Stegostoma tigrinum: one gene and its partners. The protein of the gene in region 1 interacts with the protein of each later gene in a biochemical or structural test. Links are inferred from orthologs where the notes say so. Each region holds a gene or a part of one and is shown in the gene's direction. Other genes may lie near its edges.

Region 1 (7,113 bases):
CTATTCGGCCTATCAAATCGCACCAACACTCTATACCCAAAACCTGCATGTCCCATGGCTAATGTACCTAGTCTGCATATCCTTGGACACTACGAGGTAACTTCGGATGCCCAACCCACCCTAAACCACACATCCCTGGATACTGTGGTCAGTTTAGCATGGCCAGTTCACCCTAACCTGCACATCTTTGGACATGGGAGGAAATTGGAACCCCCGCAGACACAGGGAGAATGTGCAAACTCCACACTGACCGTTGCCGGAGAGTGGAATCAGATGCAGGTGCCGAGTGCTCCGAGGCAAGTAGTGCTAAATACGAGTCACCACGCTACCACAAATACTGTGCTTTCTTGTTTCGGCTGATCCTTCGACAAACGGGAAAATTTTCTCCCCTTCAGTCAGATGCGTCACAGTTTTAATCAGATCCTTCTGACAAAAATAGCTCGTAGACTCTCCAACCTATTTCTCATACCTCACTGTCCTTGTGAGTCTCTGCTACGTTCTCTCCAAAGCGTCCATGTCCTTCCTGAAGAGTGGTGCTCGGAACTGCACACGCTCCTCCAGCTGGGATCTAACGAAGTGCCTCAGATATGTTCAGTACAATTTGCTGGCTGTCGTACTCTTATTTGGAACTGAGCTTTGTGGTTCTCAGTTAATGTTCATGAGGGTTTAGGTTTGTTTAAACAGAGCTCCCCCTGATGGTCCCAACTGCTTGTCATCCCAAAGACTAAGATACTCAATGTGGAGACAGTTAAGAACTGAAGATGCTGGAGTCAGAGATGACACAGTGTGAAGCTGGAGGAACACAGCACGGCAGGCAGCATCAGAGGAGCAGGGAAGTTGACATTTCAGATCAGAACCCTTCTTCAGAAATGTACTGACCCTCCGACAGTGCGGCACTCCCTCAGCACTGACCCTCCGACAGTGCAGCGCTCCCTCAGCACTGACCCTCCGACAGTGCGGTGCTCTCTCAGCACTGACCCTCCGACAGTACAGCGCTTCCTCAGCGCTGACCCTCCGACAGTGCGGCGCTCCCTCAACGCTGACCCTCCTGCAGTGCCCACTCCCTCAGCACTGACCCTCCAACAATGTGGCGCTCCCTCAGCACTGACCCTCCAACAGTGCCCGCTCCCTTGGCGCTGACCCTCTGACAGTGCTTACTCTCTCGGCACTGACCCTCTGACAGTGAGGCGCTCCCTCAGCACTGACCCTCTGACAGTAACCGCTCCCTTGGCGCTGACCCTCCGACAGTGCGGCACTCCCTCAGCACTGACCCTCCGACAGTGACCGCGCTCTCAGCGCTGACCCTCCGACAGTGCGACGCTCCCTCAGCACTGACCCTCTGACAGTGACTGCTCCCTTGGCGCTGACCCTCTGACAGTGCTTACTCTCTCGGCGCTGACCCTCCGACAGTGCGGCGCTCCCTTAGCACTGACCCTCTGACAGTGCCCACTCCCTCAGTACTGACCCTCCGACAGTGTCCACTCCCTCGGCGTTGACCCTCTGACAGTGCCCGCTCCCTTGGCACTGACTCTCTGACAGTGCCCACTCCCTCAGTACTGACCCTGCGACAGTGTCCACTCCCTCGGCGTTGACCCTCTGACAGTGCGACGCTCCCTCAGCACTGACCCTCTGACAGTGACCGCTCCCTTAGCACTGACCCTCCGACAGTGCCCACTCCCTCAGTACTGACCCTCCGACGGTGCCCACTCCCTCAGCACTGACCCTCCGACAGTGCCCACTCCCTCAGCACTGACCCTCCGACATTGCCCACTCCCTCAGTACTGACCCTCCGACAGTGCAGCGCTCCCTCAGCCCTGACCCTCCGACAGTGCCCGCTCCTTCCGCGCTGACCCTCTAACAGTGCGGCACTGTATCCTTACACACCTTCCAACTGCGTGGCACTCCCGTCAGTACTATTGGAGGGTCAGCACTGATGGAGTGGGTGCTGTCAGGGGGTCAGTTCGGAGGGAGTGCCTTGCTGTTGCAGGGTCAGCACCAGGGGGAGCAACCACTGTCGGACGGTCAGTGCTGATGGAGCTCCGCACTGTCGGAGGGTCAGTGCTGAGGGAGCGGGCACTGTCGGAGGGTCAGTGCTGATGGAGTGGGCACTGTCGGAGGGTCAGTGCTGATGGAGTGGGCACTGTCGGAGGGTCAATGATGATGGAGTGGGCACTGTCGGAGGGTCAGTGCTAAGGGAGCGGTCACTGTCAGAGGGTCAGTGCTGAGGGAGTGGGCACTGTCGGAGGGTCAGTGCTAAGGGAGTGGTCACTGTCGGAGGGTCAGTGCTGAGGGAGTGGTCACTGTCAGAGGGTCAGTGCTGAGGGAGCGGTCACTGTCGGAGGGTCAGTGCTGAGGGAGTGGGCACTGTCGGAGGGTCAGTGCTGATGGAGTGGGCACTGTTGGAGGGTCAGTGCCGAGGGAGCGCTGCACTGTTGGAGGGTCAGTGCTGAGGGAGTGGGCACTGTCAGAGGGTCAGCGCTGATGGAGTGGGCACTGTCGGAGGGGTCAGTGCTGATGGAGTGGGCACTGTCAGAGGGTCAGCGCTGAGGGAGTGGGCACTGTCAGAGGGTCAGCGCTGATGGAGTGGGCACTGTCGGAGGGTCAGTGCTGATGGAGCGGGCACTGTCGGAGGGTCAGTGCTGAGGGAGCGGGCACTGTCGGAGGGTCAGTGCTGAGAGAGCGGGCACTGTCGGAGGGTCAGTGCTGAGGGAGCGGGCACTGTCGGAGGGTCAGTGCTGAGGGAGCGGGCACTGTCGGAGGGTCAGTGTTGATGGAGTGGGCACTGTTGGAGGGTCAGTGCTGAGGGAGCGGGCACTGTCGGAAGGTCAGTGCTGAGGGAGAGGGCACTGTCAGAGGGTCAGTGCTGAGGGAGCGGGCACTGTCAGAGGGTCAGTGCTGAGGGAGCGGGCACTGTCAGAGGGTCAGTGCTGAGGGAGCGGGCACTGTCAGAGGGTCAGTGCTGAGGGAGCGGGCACTGTCAGAGGGTCAGTGCTGAGGGAGCGGGCACTGTCAGAGGGTCAGTGCTGATGGAGTGGGCACTGTTGGAGGGTCAGTGCTGAGGGAGCGACGCACTGTCGGAGGGTCAGTGCTGAGGGAGCGGGCACTGTCAGAGGGTCAGTGCTGATGGAATACTGCGCTGCTGAACTTCAAAATGCGGCGGAGCACTTCGAGTGTCTTTACTTTCAAGGCTGTGGACCGAGTGCTGACAGTGGGAGCGGACAAAGTTTAGGGTCAGCACAGAGTTGATGGGCCGAATGGTCTCTTTTGTCATGTATCGTTCTGAGATCTGCTCTGCAATTGGGCTCAAGACGGTCATTTTGTATTTATGAAGACTCCCAATCTCATTATAATAACATAATGAAAGTTTTAAACATCTTTCGGGTATTGGTATTTTTCTTGGGTCAAGGGTCAGGTTCATGCGAACTATCTGATTGAAGGGGCACCAGCCAATCGTCAACAGCGCGCTCTGTCCTTGAGCCAATCGCTGATAAAGGTGCGGGCACAAAGCCGTAAGTGGGATTAGAGTGACAGACTGTCGGACCAATCAAACCGCGAACTGGCCGTGGGCGGTGTCCGTTTGCCGAAATCGCGTTTGAGTGGAGGTGGGACAGAGCCGGCTCGTGATTGGGAAGGGGCGGAGAAGGAAGTAAGGGGGCATGGACTTCATTGAGCCCACAAACTCACCGGCCGACCAATCAACTCCAGCTGCATTCTGAGTGGCAGCGGGTTTGGTCAATGGGGAATAGGAATGCCTATGACGACGTGGCCGGATGGCCAATCGAATGGCAGGCACCGTGACGGGGGCGGTAACTTCTCGAGCTCCTCCTGGGCCGACCAATCCAGTTCGTGATTCCTCTCTGCGTGGCTGCAGTTTCGACCAATGGGAGCGAGGGACACGTGGGGTTATTTTATGTTTTTTTCGCTGTGTGGGGACGAATAGACGCGTTGGGCGCTGTCCGATTGGCGGGGCGGTCAGCCAATGGGAGGCGTCCAATCGGGCCCCGGGTCCCGAGGAGTGGCGGCGACGCCAGTCGCGGGTCTCGGCGTTGGAGGGTGAGGAGCTCTGTTTGGTTTCCATAGGAACGGGTTGCGGCCTAGACCGGCACGAACCAAAGACAGGACGATGTCCGAGTGGAGCTGGACCACTGAGTACGCTTACAAGCTGCCCGCCGCCACCATGTGCGAATTCTGCACGGTGATGGACTCGCTGGGCAGTGGCGACTGGAACCGCTTCGGTGAGAGACAGCGAGAGCGCGCACCCTTCTTCTTGATCAGTTAACGCGAGATTTGAGGATCCAGGGTAGCCATTCAACCCCTCGAACCCTGCTGCCCCATTCCAGTGGCTGATCAAGTGGAATTAGGTCGCCCACCTACCTTCAGCCCATTTTACTTGCTGAGCAACGATTTATCTATCTCGGTGCCCCGGGTGATAACTTCTTACGCTTTTCACTCTTATTCCTACATAGAGATGTACAGCATGGGAACAGACTGTCCCACTTGTCCATGCCTATCAGATATCCTAAATAAATCCAGCCCCACTTGCCAGCATTCGGCCCATAACCCTCTTAAACCCTTCCTATTCTGATGCCTTTTAAATGTTGTAATTGTACCAGCCTCCACACTTCCTCTGGTGGCTCATTCCATACACACACCACCCTCTTGTGTGAACAAGGTGCTCCTTAGATCCCTTTTAACTCTTTCCCCTCCCTCCTTTTAAACCTATGCCCCTATACTTGTCACCCTACCTATGCCCCTCATGATTTTATAAGCCTCTTTAAGGTCATCCCACAGCCTCCAACATTCTGGGAAATTAGCCCCAACCTATTCAGCCTGCCCCCTATAGATCAAACCCTCCAACCCTGGCAACATCTATGTAAATCTTATCTAATACCTTTCAAGTTTCACAACATCCTTTCTACAGCAGGGAGACCAGAATTGAACACAGTATTCCAAAAAGTGGCCTCACCAATGACCTGTACAGCCGCAACGTGATCTAGACTTGACAATTAAGATCTGAGTCTAATTCCGTTTCTGGCTGAATGGGTAGGTACTTGGCAAATGCAATACAATGAGGATAAAAGTGAGGCTATCCACTTTGGTCATAAAAGCAGATTATTGTCTGATTTGTGGCAGGTTGGGACAAGGTGTGCTGTTGGCGTGCGGTGCAGCAGGCCGTGAGGAAAGATAATGACATGCTGACTTTCATAACCAGAGAATTTGATCATCAGAGTAAGGATGTCTTGTTACAGGTATACAGGCATTGGTGAGACCACAACTTGAGTCTTGGTCTCTTAGTCTGAGGAAAGGCATTCTTGATATTGAGGGAGTTTGCGTGTTTTGAGAAGATTTGTAGCTCAGGTTGAATAGAAAGCAGGACATAACACCAGCGCTTCACCGGAGGCTCACTGATGATGTTACCTAGAATGGTGATGAAATGTCTGAAAACAAACCTTCCAGCTCAGCGAGCAAACTCACATCCAGATTGAGGGAGTTCAGCAAAGGTTCACCAGACTGATTCCCAGGGTGGCAGGACTGACGGATGAGGCAAAAAAAACTAGGTTAGCTGGGCTTGTACTTGCTGGAATTTAGAAGAATGAGAGGGGATATCATAGAAACATGTAAAACCCTGATGGGGCTGGACAGAATGTTAAGAATGTTCCTGATGATGGGTAAGTCCAGAGCAAGGAGTCACAGTCTGAGAGGGTAAGCTGTTCAGGACTGAGATGAGGAAGAATTTCTTCAGTCAGAGAGCTGTGAACCTGTGGAATTCTCTCCCACAGGAAGCTGTTGGGGCCAGTTAATTAGATACGTTCAGGAAGGAGCTGGATGTGGCCCTCATGGCTAAAGGGATCGGGGGTATGGGCAGAGGGTGGGAATGGGATACCGAAGTTGCATGATCAGCCGTGATCTTAGAGTGGTGGTTCAGGCTTGACGGGCTGAATGGCCTACTCCTGCACCTTTTGTTCCTATTTTTCTAATCCACTGAAAGAGAGTTCCAAACGTTGATCCTGAACAGATTAGGCTGTAATTCCCACCTTAAAACTAAAGAAGCTGTTCCTAGGTACATTAGTATCAGTGTTGGTGCTGTAATTGGTGATGTGAGAACTCTTCACTATACTCAGAGTAAATGCGACAATAAAGGCTGTTTTATTCTATGCCCCCACTTCTCAAATCTCCAACTACTGGTGAGGCCAGTTTTGGAATACTGTGATCAATTCTGGCCTCCTGGCTATAGGAAAGATGTGAAACTTGAAAGGGTGCAGAAAAGATTTACAAGGATTTTGGAGGGTTTGTGCTTTAGGGAGAGGCTGGGTCATTGGACTCTTGGTGGGAGGTGGGGAGGGAGCCTTAGAGGTTTTATAAAATCACGAGAGGTATGGATAGGGTGAACTGTTGAGGCCTTTTCCCCCAGGGTAGGGGAGCCTAAAACTTGGTGTAAATTTTTAAGGTGAGGGGAAAAGTTTAAAAGGGACCTAAGGAGCAATTGCTTCTGCAGAGTGTGGGGAGTATATGGAAAGAGCTACCAGAGGAAGTGGTGGAGGCTGGTACAGTTACTAAAGCCATCTGATTGGGTACGTGAGTAGGAAGGGTTTAGAGGGATATGGGCCAAATGCTGGCAAATGGGACTAGGTCACATTGGGAAATCTAGTCAGCACAGACAAGTTGGACCAAAACGTCTGTTTCCGTGCTGCACATCTGTCTTTAGTGGAATTTAGTTTACCTACTCAGAAATTGCTTTAAAAGCTCAGCTGGTTTGGCAGCATCTGTAGAGAGAGAGAGTTAATGTTTCATGCCCAGTGACCCTTCCCCCTTCAGATGGTTTTATATAGCTGTAGTGAAACTTCTGCATTCTTATACTCCAGTCCTCTGTGTATAAAGGTCACATCCCATTTGCGAAACCATAAATCACAAGAAAAGCTCAATAGATCTGGCAGCATCTGTGAAAGAAAAAATAGAGTTGACGCTTCAGGTCCGGTGACCCTTCATCAGAACTCTTGGTGGCTGGGAAAATGTCTTTTTTTAAATGCAGAAGATAGGAGTTGCGGGGAGGGGGCAAGGAGTAAATGATAGGTGGGGGATCGGACCTTAAGAGAGAAGAACAGTTGAACTGAC
Region 2 (7,832 bases), on another chromosome or scaffold:
CTGAAACAGTCAGCTCACTAAGTCACCAGTTAATGTAACCACACTACTGTCTTCGTCATCCAATGTTTATTTGCTTATGTTGGACTGAAACCAGCAGCAGGTCTTTTATCTGATTGTAAGGTGATATTTATAGAAATACATAATGGAACATTTAGCATTGGGTGATGTTTTGATGTTTTGAAAGCAGGTACTGACAGAGAGAAACCAGGGTAGAATGAGCAAAGTTTCTTGTTACATTATGCACAGAACAACAACACCATTGTTTATGCATTGGCAGGACATCTGATGGCATTCAGTACAGGGCATGGAGTCAAAGTGGTACTTACAATGAGTAATGCACATATATTGACCCTACGGCTCTGACTTGAGGGTTTTGCTTCAGTACTCAGATACCCAGTGGCAGCAAGTGGCTCTGAACTATCTGCTCTCAGATTATTAGATCCCATCCAGTGACCACATTAAGAAGCAAAGGGTTGATATTAGCCCTCCTCACCTGGCAGGAATGAGGCAGGCAGCTTGTTAGAGTCCTGGTTTGTGCAATTGTTACTGCATTTCAAAATCAGTTCCGCCCAAAGTTTTGCCTGCAAGCAGAGTCCTTGTTCATATGAAAATCCTGGGTTCCGTGGTATAATTTGTAACCAACACAACTTTTATTGAAGATTATTGATGTTGACACTGGGTCCTAGGCACTGGTACTGACACTGACACAGGTATTGACACTGAACATGACAACTGGCTACCAACACTGGCAAAAGTATTATGTACTGGACATTGATGTTACAAAATGACACTGGGTTCTAGCATTAAGTCCTGACTTTCAGCACTGTCACTTGCATTGGATGTAAGGGAATTCCCACACTGGCTGAAACGTCTGTTAGTTCTACTTTTCTGAGGTCAATACAGCATTCTTCAATACTCCTTTTTGTAATTCTTAAAGTAGAAATGACAGGGAAATGAAAGTAATTCCTGCTCATCTGTTGCAGTGGAAAATTTATTTCTTTCAGATTTTGTATTTTCTATGAACATATAATGTAGAACATAGAGCACTAATTTCAAGCGACAGAGTGAAAAAGTAAATTGAACACAGGATGTCTGTGAAAGGGAGAACAAACACTGCACTTCAGTAGCTCCTTTCAAGACCATTAGATGTCTCAAAGAATTTTGCAGCCGGTGAAATGATGTCACTGTTATAACACAGGAAATGCAGCAGCCAATTTGTGTCCAGTAAGATCCCGCAAACAGCAATGTGATAATGACCAGATAATCTATTGATTGAGGAATAAATACTAACTGGAATACTGGGGAAATATAACAGCTCTTTAAGATAGTGCCAAGGAAGCTTTTCTATCCTCCAGAAGAGGACTCAGTTTAAAGATTCAATGACAGACTGCTACTTCAATGGTGTAATACTCTCTCCATTTTGCCCATCAAGAGCGCTGTAGTCACTCAGAACTGCACCACTGGCACTGCAACACATCCTCAGTACTTACAGTGCAGTGGTCCCTCAGTACAGCTCCACCAACAATGCAGCACTCCCACAGTACTGATCCTCCAACAATGCAACATTCCCACAGTACCGATCCTTCAACAATGCAACATTCCCACAGTACCAATCCTCCAACAATGCAACATTCCCACAGTACTGATCCTCCAACAATGCAACATTCCCACATGACCGATCCTCCAACAATGCAATATTCCCACAGTACCGATCCTCCAACAGTGCAACATTCCCACAGTACAGCTCCACCAACAATGCAGCATTCCCACAGTACTGATCCTTCAACCACGCAACATTCCCACAGTACAGCTCCACCAATAACGCAACATTCCCACAGTACTGATCCTCCAACAATGCAGCACTCCCACAGTACTAATCCTCGAACAATGCACCATTCCCACAGTACCAATCCTCCAACAATGCAACATTCCCACAGTACCGATCCTCCAACAATGCAACATTCCCACAGTACTGATCCTCCAATAATGCAGCACTCCCACAGTACTGATCCTCCAACAATGCAGCACTCCCACAGTACTGATCCTTCAACAATGCAACACTCCCACAGTATTGATCCTCCAACAATGCAACAGTTCCACAGTACTGATCCTCCAACAATGCAACATTCCCACAATACTGATCCTCCAATAATGCAGCACTCCCACAGTACTGATCCTCCAACAATGGAGCATTCCCACAGTACTTATCCTCCAACAATGCAACATTCCCACAGTACCGATCCTCCAACAAAGCAACATTCCCACAGTACTGATCCTCCAACAATGCAACATTCCCACAGTATGGGTCCTCCAGCAATGCAACATTCCCACAGTACTGGTCCTCCAACAATGCAACATTCCCACAGTACTGATCCTCCAATACTGCAGCACTCCTACAGTACTGCCCCTCCAAAAGTGCAGCATTCTGTACTACTGACCTTCTGACAGTGCAAAATTCCCACAGTACTGACCCTCCAAAAGTGCAGCATTCCGTAGTACTGACCTTCCAACCGTGCTACATTCCCACAGTACTGACCCTCCAAAAGTGCAACATTCCGTAGTACTGACCTTTCAACAGTGCAACATTCCCACAGTACTGACCCTCCAACAATGCAGCTCTCCTTCAATTCAGTGCAGCTGTCACTCCAAGGAATCCCTCAGTACTGATCCTCTCACAGTGCAGCAATCCCACAGTGCTGACCCTCTGACAGTGCAGCAATCCCACAGTCCTGATCCTCTGGCAGTGCAACACTCCCTCAGTACTGACACCCTGACTGTGCAGCGGTGCCTCAACACTGACCCTCCTACAATGCAGGATTCCCTCAGTCGTTCATTGGAGTATCTCCCAGATTGTTTTACTCTCGCCCTTGAGTGGGACTGAAACCCACACCTTCTAACTCACAGCTAAGAAAGGGCGCCCACAACTGAGACAAGCACGGAAGTGTTGTTTTATGTGTTCCTGAGAAAAAAAAGCATTGCTGTTCAAGCTATCGCTTTTCATCCCCCACTAATTGCTCTTGAGAAGTACCGCTGAGCTGTTTTCTTGAACGCTTTGCCTTTGGAATGAGGGTATTGCCACAACACTGCTCGGAAGCAAGTTGCAGGATTATGACTCAACAATAGTGAAGGAAAATTGATATAGTTCTAACGTGCGTGACTCAGCAGGGAGCCTGCTATGGTGGTGTTGCAATGTAATGTTACTGCTGGCCTTGTTTTTCCAGGTGATTGAGGGCACAGGTTTAGAAGATGTTGCCTGTGGAGACTTGGTGATTTGTTGTAATGTCACCTGTAGATGGAAAATTATGTGCCGCTATGCACTGCACATGGAGGGAGTGAATGTTTAAGGCAGTGAAAGGGGATGTTGAGCAAGTGGAAAACTTTTTCCTGGATGTTGTCAATCTTCCTGGGTGTTATTGAAGCTGCTGCCATCCAATCAAGTGGGGGTCATTCTATCATGTTGGAAAAACTCAGCAGGCTTCTGGAGAAGGTTAACTGGACCCAAAATATTAACTCTACTTTCTCTCTACAGATGCTGCTAGACTTGCTGAGTTTTTTCCAGCAATTTCTGTTTGTGTTTCTGATTTCTAGCATCTGCAGTTCTTTGGGTTGATTTTTTCATTCTATTATGTTCCTCACCTGTGCCTTTTATACAATGGAAAGCTTTGTAAATCACAAGGTGAGTTATTTACTGCAAGAATCCCCAGACTCTGGTCTGATCTTGTAGCCACATTTATTTATCTGGCTGGTCCATTCTGGTTCCTGGTCAATGACAAGTCCCAGGATATTAATGGAGGGGAACTTAGAAATGGTGCTGCCTCTGAATATCAAATGGAGGTTCAGTTTTCTTGCAACATGAACTTCGCCTGCTACTCCAGTGGCACATTCATTACACTTATGAGCTATTGATGAGCCCTCAACTGAATGTTACCCAGATCTTGGGGCTATGGGCAAGGACTGCTTCAGGATCTAGAGTTGCAAATGGTGCTGAACATTGTTCCAAACATCAATTAACATCTCCACCTCTGACCTTATGATGGAGGGAAGATCATTGAGGAACCATTCGAAACTGTTTGGCAGTGTGCCTGTGTGTCTGCAGCCCTTGCCTTTTTACTTTTACAGGTTATGGATTTGAAAGGTTGGAGGAGACTTGGTGAGTTACTCAAGTGCAAGTGACACACTCAAACAGCTGTCCAAGGGCTAGTTTGTGGAAGAGGAATTTCTCTCAGGGCCTGGAAACATACAGAGGGCTTGGGTTTTGCTCATCTTCAAATTACTTGCTGATAATGTTCACTCATTGGTAAACAAAATTTCCCAAAGCCTTGCAAAATGAAAGGGCTTTCCCTTTTTTATTTGAACAGAATTGGCTATGTTCGAAGTTTGGCGCCAATTCCTGTTTGGCTAACAGCGCAACAATGGAAAGTGAAACTTAGAAATAACTGAGCTTACAAATTCGACTGGATTCCACGTGATTTCAGGGAAAGGAAACAGGTTTGCCATATTTGGAAAATGACAGTACGCGCGCCAAGTATGAGGATGGAGGCTGGTGCTGGGCTTTCTGAGCCGTGGTGAGATGATGAAACCACAAACCGCGGGGGTGGAGAAGGGTGGGGACAGACGTGAACTCTGCCTGTAAAGTGAGGTTATGGTGGGGGTTGGATTACAGAAGGTGGTGCTCCCTGTTAGCATGTGACGTCTCTGAGCGGCCCACACCTCTATATAAGAGCTTTGCAGAGCCAGGGTGCGTTGAATTGAAAGCAGAGCGATGTCCTGATGTTTGTCGTTTCTGCAATGGGCAAACAGAGGTGACACGCTCTCTCTTGCAGGAATGTATTTACTGGGGACAAGTCTCCATGTCTGATCTGCACCTTGTACTGTTGCAGAATTCGTTATCTTGCTTTGCTCTACACCGTGTTTGTAACACAGAGCGTTGTCCCAATCTGTTACAGAATGAACAACCAGAAACCACAGCTCCGATCCTGGTTAATCGCTCAGATTAACAGCGGCAGTTACCATGGACTGCGTTGGTTGAATAAAGAAAAAACCATGTTCCGTATTCCCTGGAAACACGCCGGCAGACAGGACCTGTGTGAGAATGATTACAGCATCTTCAAGGTAGGGGCTTGCAGCGGGGTGTGAGCAGTTGCCTGCAGACAATTAATGTTGTTTGTACAGTCAGCCTGGGAGTATGAGGCGGCTGAGCGAGCAAATGTCTGAATTAAAAAGTCCGAACCCGATATTTTGCATAAGATTGGCAGCACTGAGGGATCGCCGCTCAGAAAGTTAGACCCTGGTGGATGTCAAGACTGTTTGACATTAATTATGAAGAACAGCAGGAGAGTATGCTATGGCGTTTTTGTCAAAACCAGTAAATTAAGAGATTATCTTGTAATTGTCTCACTACTGTTTGTGGGAGCTTGCTGTGCACAAATTGTTTGGTCTGATTCCAATATTACAACAGTGATTAACTTCAAAAGCATTGATTTGGCTGTACAGCACGTCGAGAGATCTGCTGCTCCAACAATGTGCTGCGGCAATGCCAGTCTTTTCGATGTTGTCTATCTCTAGAGGGATTCCTGTTTGAAATGTTTCGGCTTTGAGAAAATGAAAAATGTTGGCTAAGCTCTCTTTAATTAGATTCTAATTTCAATTGGAGTCTGGCCTTCTCAAGGAATATTAGTTTAGAGTTTGATGTGTAGCATGAAAAGTTAGTGAATTATGGTAAAGTGAGACCAATCAGCTAATCTCAGCAGAGACTGTCCAATATAGGGAACCCACGGCAGCGTTTAGTTTGTAAATGCTCCCCATGCCAAACATCACATAAAAACGTTGGGTTCTTTGCTGCCCTGCTGTGTAGATACGTGGTGTTTACCTGACGTGCATACACAAGGAATAAACCAGGTTCCTTATCACTGCTCCCTCTGCTGGCGCAGTGGAGAGTTGTACTGGCCTATTCTTTCAAATTGGAAGATGAACTCACTTGGTGATGCTGTTGTTATGATGGGCAGCTGAGGATGTTGGGGAAGTAATGATCAGCCACTGCCCACTCCCTGGGTGATGGCGATTTTGGTGAGAAGCCAGAATAGCTGTCAAACGAAAGGAAAGCCCCACAGATGCAGGAAATCTAAAACGGGCGCAGAGAATTCTGGAGGAACTGAGCAGGTCTGGATCTGGAAATTTAGTTATGAACAAGTCGTACAGACTGGTAACATTAACTCTGTTTCTCTCGCTGCAGATGCTGTCGGACCTGCTGAGTTTCCCCAGCATTTTGTGTTTGTTGAGGAATAACTATCGCCTGGGGCACAGCCTGACAATATTCAGTGATTTAAAGTGACAGAGCATCCGCTCCTCCTGAAACTGAAAAAATGTTTCAAATCTCCTTCCAGACATGGGAGCTCAGTGCTGTCGGAGGGTGGGTGCTGAGGGAGTGCTGTCGGAGGGTGGGTGCTGTGGGAGTGCACAGCTGTCAGGAGAGTTGGCACTGAAGGAGCGTTTTATTCTTGGAAGATTGTAATGCATTTATCAACTCGATAACCTCCCAATGCTCCAATTCATTTTATAACTTGACCTTTCATAAGTCAGCAGCCTGGCATCTGTTAACTGGGTTTAATTAAGTATTCAGTTTTGGGTCAGTGAGTAGCTGTCTTTTTGTCTCTTTACATGTGTTGTGGAGGTGGTTAGCTCATTTGGCTGGACAGCTGGTTTGTGACGTAGATTGATGCCAATGGTGTGGGTTCAATTCTTGGACCAGCAGAGGTTCCTCAAGGAAATTTCTTTTTCAGTCTTTGCCCTCACCTGAGATGTGGTGATCCTCAGGTTTAGCTACCACCAGCCATTTCTCCTGTCAGAGAGCAGGTCTTTGGTCTGCTAGGCTATGGTGACCTTAATAATGTCAGCCTATTGATGCATGTCTCTGCCTGTGTATTTCTGTGTGGGATCCTCCTGTGTGTAAATATCAAGCTCCTAAGTGATGATTTGGCAATTTATTTGTTTTCAAAACACTTGAAATCCCAAGCAGCAGACTTTCTCTGGCTGTCGTTGTCTGAGGGTCTCAATACACTGTAAGTGTCACTTTGCTGTCCCTGTGCTTAGCAGCTTGAGGGATGGGTGGAGCATTTCAAGGCTTGCTGCATGCCACCTCACCTGAACACCTGCAACAGCTGTGATCGGTGCTCAAAGAGAGATATGACAGTGGGCATTCAAAGTATGGAGGGTGGCTAATGTGGTGCTGTTATTTATGAAAGGTTGTGAGGAAAAGCCAGGGGACAATAGGCCAATGAGCCTGACATCAGCGGTGGCTAAGTTGTTGGACGGGATTTTGAGGGACAGGATTTCCATGCATTTGGGAAGGCAAAGACTGATTAGAGAGAGGTCAGCATGGCTTTGTGCATGCAAAATTATGATTGAGTTTTTTGAAGAGGTGATAAAGGTGATGAAGGCAGAGTTGTCTATCTGCACTTCAGCAAAGAACTTGACAAAGTTCCACATAATAGACCTGTTAGTAAGGTTAGATCTAGGGGCAACTAGCCAATTGGACACTAAATTGGCTTGATAGTAGGAGATAGCCGGTGGTGGTGGAGGATTGCTTTGCAGACTGGAGGCCTGTGACCTGCCGTGTGCCACAAGGGTCAGTGCTGGGTCCACTGCTTTTTATCATCTATAATAAACAATTGGGATGTGAATATAGAAAGCATGGTTAGTGAGTTTGCTGATGACACCAAAATAGGTGTAGTGGACAGTGAAGAAGATTATCTCAGAGTACAACAAGACCTTAATCCGATGGGGAAAAATGGGCTGAGGAGTGACACGTGGAGTTTAATTTAGAAAATTTGAGA
Region 3 (7,868 bases), on another chromosome or scaffold:
ATTCTCAAAACCGTTTGGATCATGATTGCACAATTCCCTGCACCCATTCATTTTGTTCTGCGTCACTTCATTGGATTCCTGGATAATGACTGCATTTAGGAAAGTAAATTGCAGTCATCAGGAGAACAGGACTCCTCTCTCAGTCACGCTGGGAGAATCCCTAATCACAAATGGAGCTCATTCGGCCATTGTGCTTATTCTAGCCCTTTTTAGAAACTTCCCAATTCATCCACTTGTCATTACCAATAGGTATGTTCATCATGCAGGCCACTAGCCTGTGGATTAACGTGTCTCATGTACCTTTTACCTTATAATGATTCAAGTCAAAGCAATCAGCTTTTACTTAAACAGTTAATTTATGTCAAGCTATTGTTAAAGGTTCCTTTGAAAAAAAGACATTAATTTATTAACAAGAAAAGAACACTTGTAAATATTACTCTGTCTTATCTGTAGTTTCTGTTTCTTAACTTTGGTTTTTTAAGTTCCTGTGGCATACTGTCGGTGCTTGTTACTGAAATGAAGAGGTTATTATTTGAAGTCAGATCCAACAGCTGTGATGCATCTTTTAGATTCAGATTTAGAATTAGATTTAGATTTAGATTTTATTGTCACATGTACTTAAGTTCAGGATTACAGGAGTACAATAAAAAGTGTACAAAGTCACCATTCTCTGGTTCCATCTTTGAACACAAAAGACAATATTAAGAACAGAAGCAGAAGTAAAAGAAACAGCCAAAAGAAAAGGAAACATTCCTGTCAGAGCTAGTAAAAACTGCCGATGCTGGAGTCAGAGACAACACAGTTTGGAGCTGGAGGAACACAGCAGGCCAGGCAGCGTCAGAGGAATAAAGGTTCATACCACGCCCTCACCTGCACCGTGTGTCCTCACCACCAGAAAAACAAAATCACTAAGTCCATCTGTCAGTCTAAGAACACCCCAGTGCCAGGAGTTCCCTGCATGCAGCTGGAACACCACCTCCACCATCAGGTACCCCAAGCCTAGCCATGTCCTGGAGCTGTGTTATTGCTGTTGGAACCAGCTCACCGTTCCTCTGTGTCATCTTGCCTCCACCTCATCACCTCCATGAGTTCTCGCTGTTCCGACCTTGGCAATGCAGCTACTGCTCAACCTGCTGGCTCCCAAACTGGACTCGAACCCAACACTGGGCCCAGCATGTCGAAGCAGCTGATACCGTTACATTACTGCTGCTGCCTGCTGGTACTGTCATCTCTGCAAAGCAACCCACCATTACTGAGCCCCACACCACCCCCACCAGGAAGAGGGAAATTCCAGTCACTATCCATATCCCAGGAAAGGGAATGCTCCAGCCACTACTCACATCCCGGGAAAAGGAATGTTCCAGCCACTACCCACATCCCAGGAAAGGGGGACGTTCCAGCCACTACCCACATCCCGAGAAAGGGAATGTTCCAGCTACTACTCACATTCCAGAAAAGGGAATGGTCCAGCCACTACCCACCTCCTGGGAAAGGGTGACATTCCAGCCATAACCCACATCCCGGGAAAGGGGAATGTTCCAGCCACTATCCACCTCCTGGGAAAGGGTGACATTCCAGCCATAACCCACATCCTGAGAAAGGGGAATGTTCCAGCCACTACCCACATCCCAGGAAAGGGGGACGTTCCAGCCACTACTCACATTCTGGGAAAGGGGAATGTTCCAGCCACTACTCACATTCTGGGAAAGGGGACGTTCCAGCCACTTCCCACATCCTGGGAAAGGGGAATGTTCCAGCCACTACTCACATTCTGGGAAAGGGGGACGTTCCAGCCACTTCCCACATCCTGGTAAATCTCTTCTGAATCCTCTAGAGGCTGATACTATCCTTCCTATAATTGGATGACCAGAACAGGACACAGTATTCCAGAAGAGGGTGCAGCTGTTTTCCCCGGAGTCTCGGAGGCTGAGGGGTGGCCATATAGAGGTTTATAAAATCATGAGGGGCATGGATAGGGTGAACAGCCAAGGTCTTTTCCCCAGGGCAGGGGAGTCAAAAACTAGAGGGGCATAGGTTTAAGATGAGAGGGGAAAGATTTATAAGGGACCTGAGGGGCAATGTTTTCACACAGAGGGTGGTGCCTGTTTGGAATGAGCCGCCAGAGGAAGTGGTGGAAGCTGGTACAATTACAGCATTTAAAAGGCTCCTGGATGGGTATAAGAATAGGAAGGGTTGGGACTAGATCAGTTTCGGATATCTGGTGGGCATGGACAAGTTGGACCAAAGGGTTTGTTTTTATGCTGTCTGACTCTCTGACTATGACTGTTACAGCTTTTTACATGCCATAGTTGAAGATTCAAATTCCCCTACTTTGATGTCTATTGAGGCAGGAAACACTACTTTGCATTTTAGAAGGACCTGTCATGTTGCCCAGGTCTAGATGCATTCTAAGAGTCTCTCTTTTGTTATTTGAGATTGGCGCACTGTTCAATTGGCTTTGAAACAGTCCACTGTTTAACTGACACAGTCTACTTTGGCCTCCAACTTGAACGGACGTGTTTCACTTAGAAGCAATGTGCAGAATTTTAAAGCAAAGATGTCCTTTTCTTTAATAGATATGACAGCAGGTGACATATTTGTAATTCAATTCCATCATGTTTTCTCCTATTTCTCTTTCTCATGTGCACTTCCAGTTCAAGTATGCTCAACAAGGTGATTAAAACAAGGAAGCCATCAATGGGAAAAAAACTTGAAATAGTTTCTGAAACTAAGAGGAAAAGTAGTTTTGGAGCAGAATTCCACAGACTGTGATGTAATGAACAAAAGAATGAGGCTGATACAGAGGAACATTTCTGCTTTGAAAATGTAAACGGTGATGTCGGACAATCACTAATAAATCCAACTGGGAATTCAAGAGAAAAGTTTGTACTCAGAGAATAATCTTTACCAGAGGAAGTGATCAATATAAATAGAATTGACACCTATAAAGAGATGTTTAGAAAATACAGTTGGGAGAAAGGAATACATGGACAACTGACAGATGGAGAAGTAGGAATTGGAGCAGAAAGAGAATGCACATATTAATAACATAATGATGGATACAGTGCTGTAAAATTGACGTCAGCAGTTACATGCCACTGTGATTCTGTGAGGAAGGAATAATCCATGCAAGATGGCTGTGTTACAGGGATCAGTGTAATGTAAAAGAGTTTGGTGGCATAGAGGCAGAGATACAACAGTCTCAAAGTGGAGACAATTCATGATAAGGGAACAGCCTCCTCAGGACAGGGCTCAGCCCTTACCTGTGAACCATGTGTCAGTCTAGCCCAAGGGGACTGATTTACTAATGGTTATCTCAGTGCAGACAGAGCAAATCAGTCAGGGGTGGAAAGAGGTTAGTGTTGAAGTAAACAGCGCAGACCAGTTGAGCTGAGTGGCCCATTCGAGCTGTAAATGTTATTTAATTCTATGTAATGTACAGATATTAATGCAAATTGGCTGTAAGGCAATTGATAAATAGTGTACACTGTTCGGGTAAAGCGAACTTTCTACTATACAGGTAAAGAGATTCTCTTTTAGCAATTTCCCCATAATGTGATTATCTATAGCATGAGGTCACACAAGAATGCAACTATCACGTTATCGGAGGAGTACCTGCAATTCTCTTTTTTGATTTTGCTCCTGCTTGTGTTTTCCCCAGGTTTTCAGTCAGTGCATGCCAGATTAAGCCTCTGTTTGTGAAGACAAGAATCTTGTCTGTGTTTTGTACCTCTCACTCAGATGATTGTGAATCAGTTTTGTCTGGAATTTCCCCTTCTATCTTTAAGTGATAAATTCATAATCTCTCTGATCATGAAGTCTCCTTGCAGTTTCTGGTGAGTGGCCTTAGTGTAGTGCAGAACTGCGGAAAAATGTGGACTCGGAGTGGGCAGATGGCTGCCATGTTTGGTTCAATGCAGAGAACTGTGAAGTGATGCATTTTGATCAGAAGAACATTGAAAGACTTAAATAAGGGGTACAATTCTAAACAGGTGCAGGAGCAGAGGAACCTGGTTGTCTAAGTGCACAGAACAAATAGAGGGAACAGCAAGTAAGGCACACAGTGTCCTTGGCTTTGTTAAGAGGGGCATAGAGTACAGGAGCGAGGAGGTGAGGTTGAAATTGTACAAGATACTTGTAGGACCTCAGCTGGTGTACTGTGTACGGTTGTGGGTGTCACATTATAATAAAGATGCCAATACAGTGGACAATTTACAAGAATGGTCTAGGGGTGAGAAACTTCAGTGATGAGGTTAGATTGATAAAATGCTGTGTAAATCTATGAATCTAAATTGTAACATTTCTCCTTGGAGAGAAGAAAGCTAACAGGACACTTCATTCAGGTTTTCAAAATTATGAGTGAGCTCGATACACTACATACCCTTTCCAGTTGTATAGGGGCCTACATTTAACAAGAACCACAAAAGAAGCAAGTGTGATGTGAGGAAGATAACAAAGTGTGAGGCTGAATGAACACAGCAGGCCAAGCAGCATCTCAGGAGCACAAAAGCTGACGTTTCGGGCCTAGACCCTTCATCAGAGAGGTTTTCACACAGTGAGTAGTATTGTTTGGAATCATAGTGGAGGCAGGTTCAGTTAGGAATTGCAGAGGCCATCCGATGAAATGGTGTGCAAGAAATGGGGGAAAACCAGGAGATTGGTATTAGGCAATGATGCTCGTTTGGAGGGCTGGTACAGACAAATGGGCTGAACGGGAGGAGGGAGGATGAGGAGAGGTGGATGAGGAGAGGTGGGGGAAATGGGGAGCTGGCTCACTCTGTGAACTAGAGCTCCCAGGATGCTGTCCGCTGAAGCTGACTCGGGCTCCGCTGTGGGAGGGATAGAGGGAGGGGTTAGGCAGAGCCTGGTTGCAGGAAAGCGAGGGAGGCAGACACAGTCCCGGAGGTTTCAGTTGACGAGCGGCTGGGGTTTGCGCATTAACCAGAAAGGAAAGAAACCAGCCACACACAAAGCAAAACCGAACCTGGTAAGAGAAAGTTGTTTTGTAGCTTTCTCGGGGGGCGGGGGGGAGAACGGGATGTTGCAGCCTGGATGTGTTGGGAATTTTAGTGATTGCATTTCGGCTCCGAGCTGAAGCCCCATGTTCGGAGCGAAGCTTTCATTTTCTTGATTGGCTTTATGTGACGAGGACAGTGATTTGTACAGTACTGTGTGTGTGTGTGGGGTTGTACAAGGCGGTTGTGAGTGTGTGTGTTTCTCTCGCTCTCTGTCTCCAGCTGGCCCCCTGTGTGTGGCTGGGGAGTGGGGAGTGGGGGGTGGGGGGGAGGTGGGAAGTAGAGAGCACATTCCGGCTGCTGCTCCACACAAAGAGGCGCCTCCAGTCCCGGGGCCAGAGACACTGTCCACACCGAGAAACAGCAGCGATTCCGGGCACCCACAGACGGCGCTGCGCTGGGGAAGCGAGCTTCCGATCCAGTCGGTATCGGGACTGAGTAAAAAGCCTAACGATTCACAGCGGCCGCAAGAAGCGAATTAAAAAGACCTGCATTTTTATAGCGCTTATCACGTGTCGAAGAGTCCTGCAGTCAACGGAATGCCTTCTAAAGTGTAGTAGCCCTCTCCGTAGGAAACGAGGCAGCCAGCGTGCGCACAGCAAGATCCCAAACAGCAAACAATTATAACCACATAATGTTATTATGCAGTTGCGAGAATAGGACCTGTTTTTCTCAGGCGGGTGCGGGGAGGTGGGGTGGCAGCACAGATTTAGAGGAATCAGTAGAAGGCTTAAGGGAAACCATTTTTCACCGAGAGAGTGGTAGGGTCTGTAACAGACTGGGGCAGAAACCCTCAACTCATATTCATCTGAATTCACAGAACCTCAGGGTTAAGAATCAGTGCTGGTAAAATGGGATCCGTCTGGGTATCTTATTTTTTCAGCCAGCATAGGATATCCACCTATGGCTAATAAGGGTGGTTCGGGCAGTTAGGGATAACTGATCTTCTTGAAGAAGCGATGAGATCCATTACATCTGAGATAGTGGGAACCGCAGATGCTGGAGAATCCAAGATAACAAAGTGTGGAGCTGGATGAACACAGCAGGCCAAGATCCTTTACATCTGTTTGATCAGGCGACGGTCTCAATTTGCCACTGCCTCAGTTGCTCCTCTGGAAGGTCAGTCTCTTGCTGAAAACCTGGAGTGGGATTTGAACCCAGATCCTTATGATTCAGGGATGAGCATGCTACCTGCTGAGCCTGGATTCCAATTTTCCCAGTGCCTGAATCACTGGAGGTATGGCCCCCTCCTACTGGACACTTTAGTCTGGGAAAAATAAATGAGAATGGAAGACATTACTTGATCTTTGTAATTAGCTTTGTGTAACTAACGCCTTCTTTTAGATCAAGCCATGTCACAGGGTGTCTGGAGACATCTGAGTTCAGGGTATTGGGACCAGCTGGATCTGATCATCACCAGACATGACTCTGAGCAGCATTCCCAGCACAGGCTGCTACCACAAAGCTGACTGTGACACAGTTCACTCCCTGCTTGTGCACCACGATGAGGCTGCAACCCTCAAGGATTTTCCATTCAAAGCAGGAATGCTGTCCTTGTATCAATGTCAGTCATACTGCTGACCCAGAACAAAAACCGACAGTTCCATTACTTAATAGAACAGGCACTGTCTGGCATTCCCACACAGAGCGAAGTAGCAAAATGGGGCATACTTCAAGACACTATGCACTGTCATCATGTGGGAAATGAGTAGAAAATGCTGACTGATGTTAACTTCAAACCATTGTCACAGAATACATCATAGAAGCTAAACAGTCTGCTTTCATTAATTGCAAGAGAGATCCAAGTGAGAAACTCTGAATCCAGTAAGAGCTGCTCAAAGTAAAGTTCGAGGGACTGTGCCAAAGACTACTGGGTACAACTGCCAAAATATTCCATGTCCTTCAACACTAGGAAGGTCAGAGGCATGGTTGATGGAATCAGAAAGTCAAGAGGTCCACCAGCAAAGAAAACTGCTCTGTTGAAAATGCTTTAAACATTTGGAGAGATGGGTGGAACATTACCTTGACTTGTACTGTAGGAAGAACACAGTCACTGAAGGAAGTTGGCCTGTCATGGCAGGGATGGACCACAATCCACAGCACAGAAGCTGAACAAAGCTGTTTTTCACTTACCACGGTCGAAGTTCCAGTTGGCAATGCCGAGTTCACTGAGCATGGGAACCTAGCATTTCTGCAGCTTCTATGTGGATTTCTTTTGCTGCTGGAGGGAGAAGGCAGTGCTGCAGGATGCGTGATACAAAGATTGTGAATGTATATGAGAACAAGGATGGCTGCAGAAATTACTTAAAAGACTTAGCAGATCTCACAGCATCTGTGGAGAGAAAGCAGATTAATGTTTCTGACCATGTGATCCTTCTTCAGGGTTCCTTGTGGGAGAAGTATTTTCAAGTGTTGCTCTTGCCAGACTGTAAATCCTGGTTGAATGCATCCATCCTGAAACTCAATGTGGTTTCAGAACTGGTAGATTTACGAATGGTATGATCACCTCTGTACAGCAGCTAGAAGAGAAATACGATGAACAATTTTATTGTCATTCCTTATTTATTTACAGTGGGCTGAATGGGCCTCTACTGCTGTCATAATATGCATAATATGACTTTTTTTTGTTGTGCTAACTGTCCTGCATTTCATTGTGTCCAGTTTTATTATAGTTCTAAAAAGTATTGATTTTGTTTTAAACTTTCTTTAATAGTGAAATTTTAAGGATTGCAGTAGGTGAATCAACTTCCAGCTGATATAGAGAAGTATTGCACGTGCTGAAAGCGTTTGTCAAAAAGTGTCTTTAACCTGAAACATGAACTGTTTCTGTCTCCATAGTTGTTCCAGACCTGT

What was found.
Region 2: the proteins of irak1 (region 1) and irf7 form a complex in vitro, tested with the Homo sapiens proteins (2 studies listed by BioGRID, with this or other methods). The link is inferred for Stegostoma tigrinum from reciprocal best matches to the Homo sapiens genes IRAK1 and IRF7.
Region 3: of the proteins of irak1 (region 1) and E3 ubiquitin-protein ligase pellino homolog 1, one has a biochemical effect on the other in vitro, tested with the Homo sapiens proteins (5 studies listed by BioGRID and IntAct, with this or other methods). The link is inferred for Stegostoma tigrinum from reciprocal best matches to the Homo sapiens genes IRAK1 and PELI1.

What each region holds. Positions count from the first base shown.
Region 1 is NC_081402.1:3,446,142-3,453,254, reverse strand, and holds the start of irak1 (interleukin-1 receptor-associated kinase 1), read left to right. Parts: upstream 1-4,013; 5' UTR 4,014-4,123; coding exon 4,124-4,235; intron 4,236-7,113.
Region 2 is NC_081370.1:35,411,756-35,419,587, forward strand, and holds the start of irf7 (interferon regulatory factor 7), read left to right. Parts: upstream 1-4,728; 5' UTR 4,729-4,770; coding exon 4,771-4,802; intron 4,803-4,946; coding exon 4,947-5,112; intron 5,113-7,832.
Region 3 is NC_081362.1:1,841,756-1,849,623, reverse strand, and holds the start of E3 ubiquitin-protein ligase pellino homolog 1, read left to right. Parts: upstream 1-4,862; 5' UTR 4,863-4,987; intron 4,988-7,868. UniProt on the Homo sapiens protein: E3 ubiquitin ligase catalyzing the covalent attachment of ubiquitin moieties onto substrate proteins. Involved in the TLR and IL-1 signaling pathways via interaction with the complex containing IRAK kinases and TRAF6.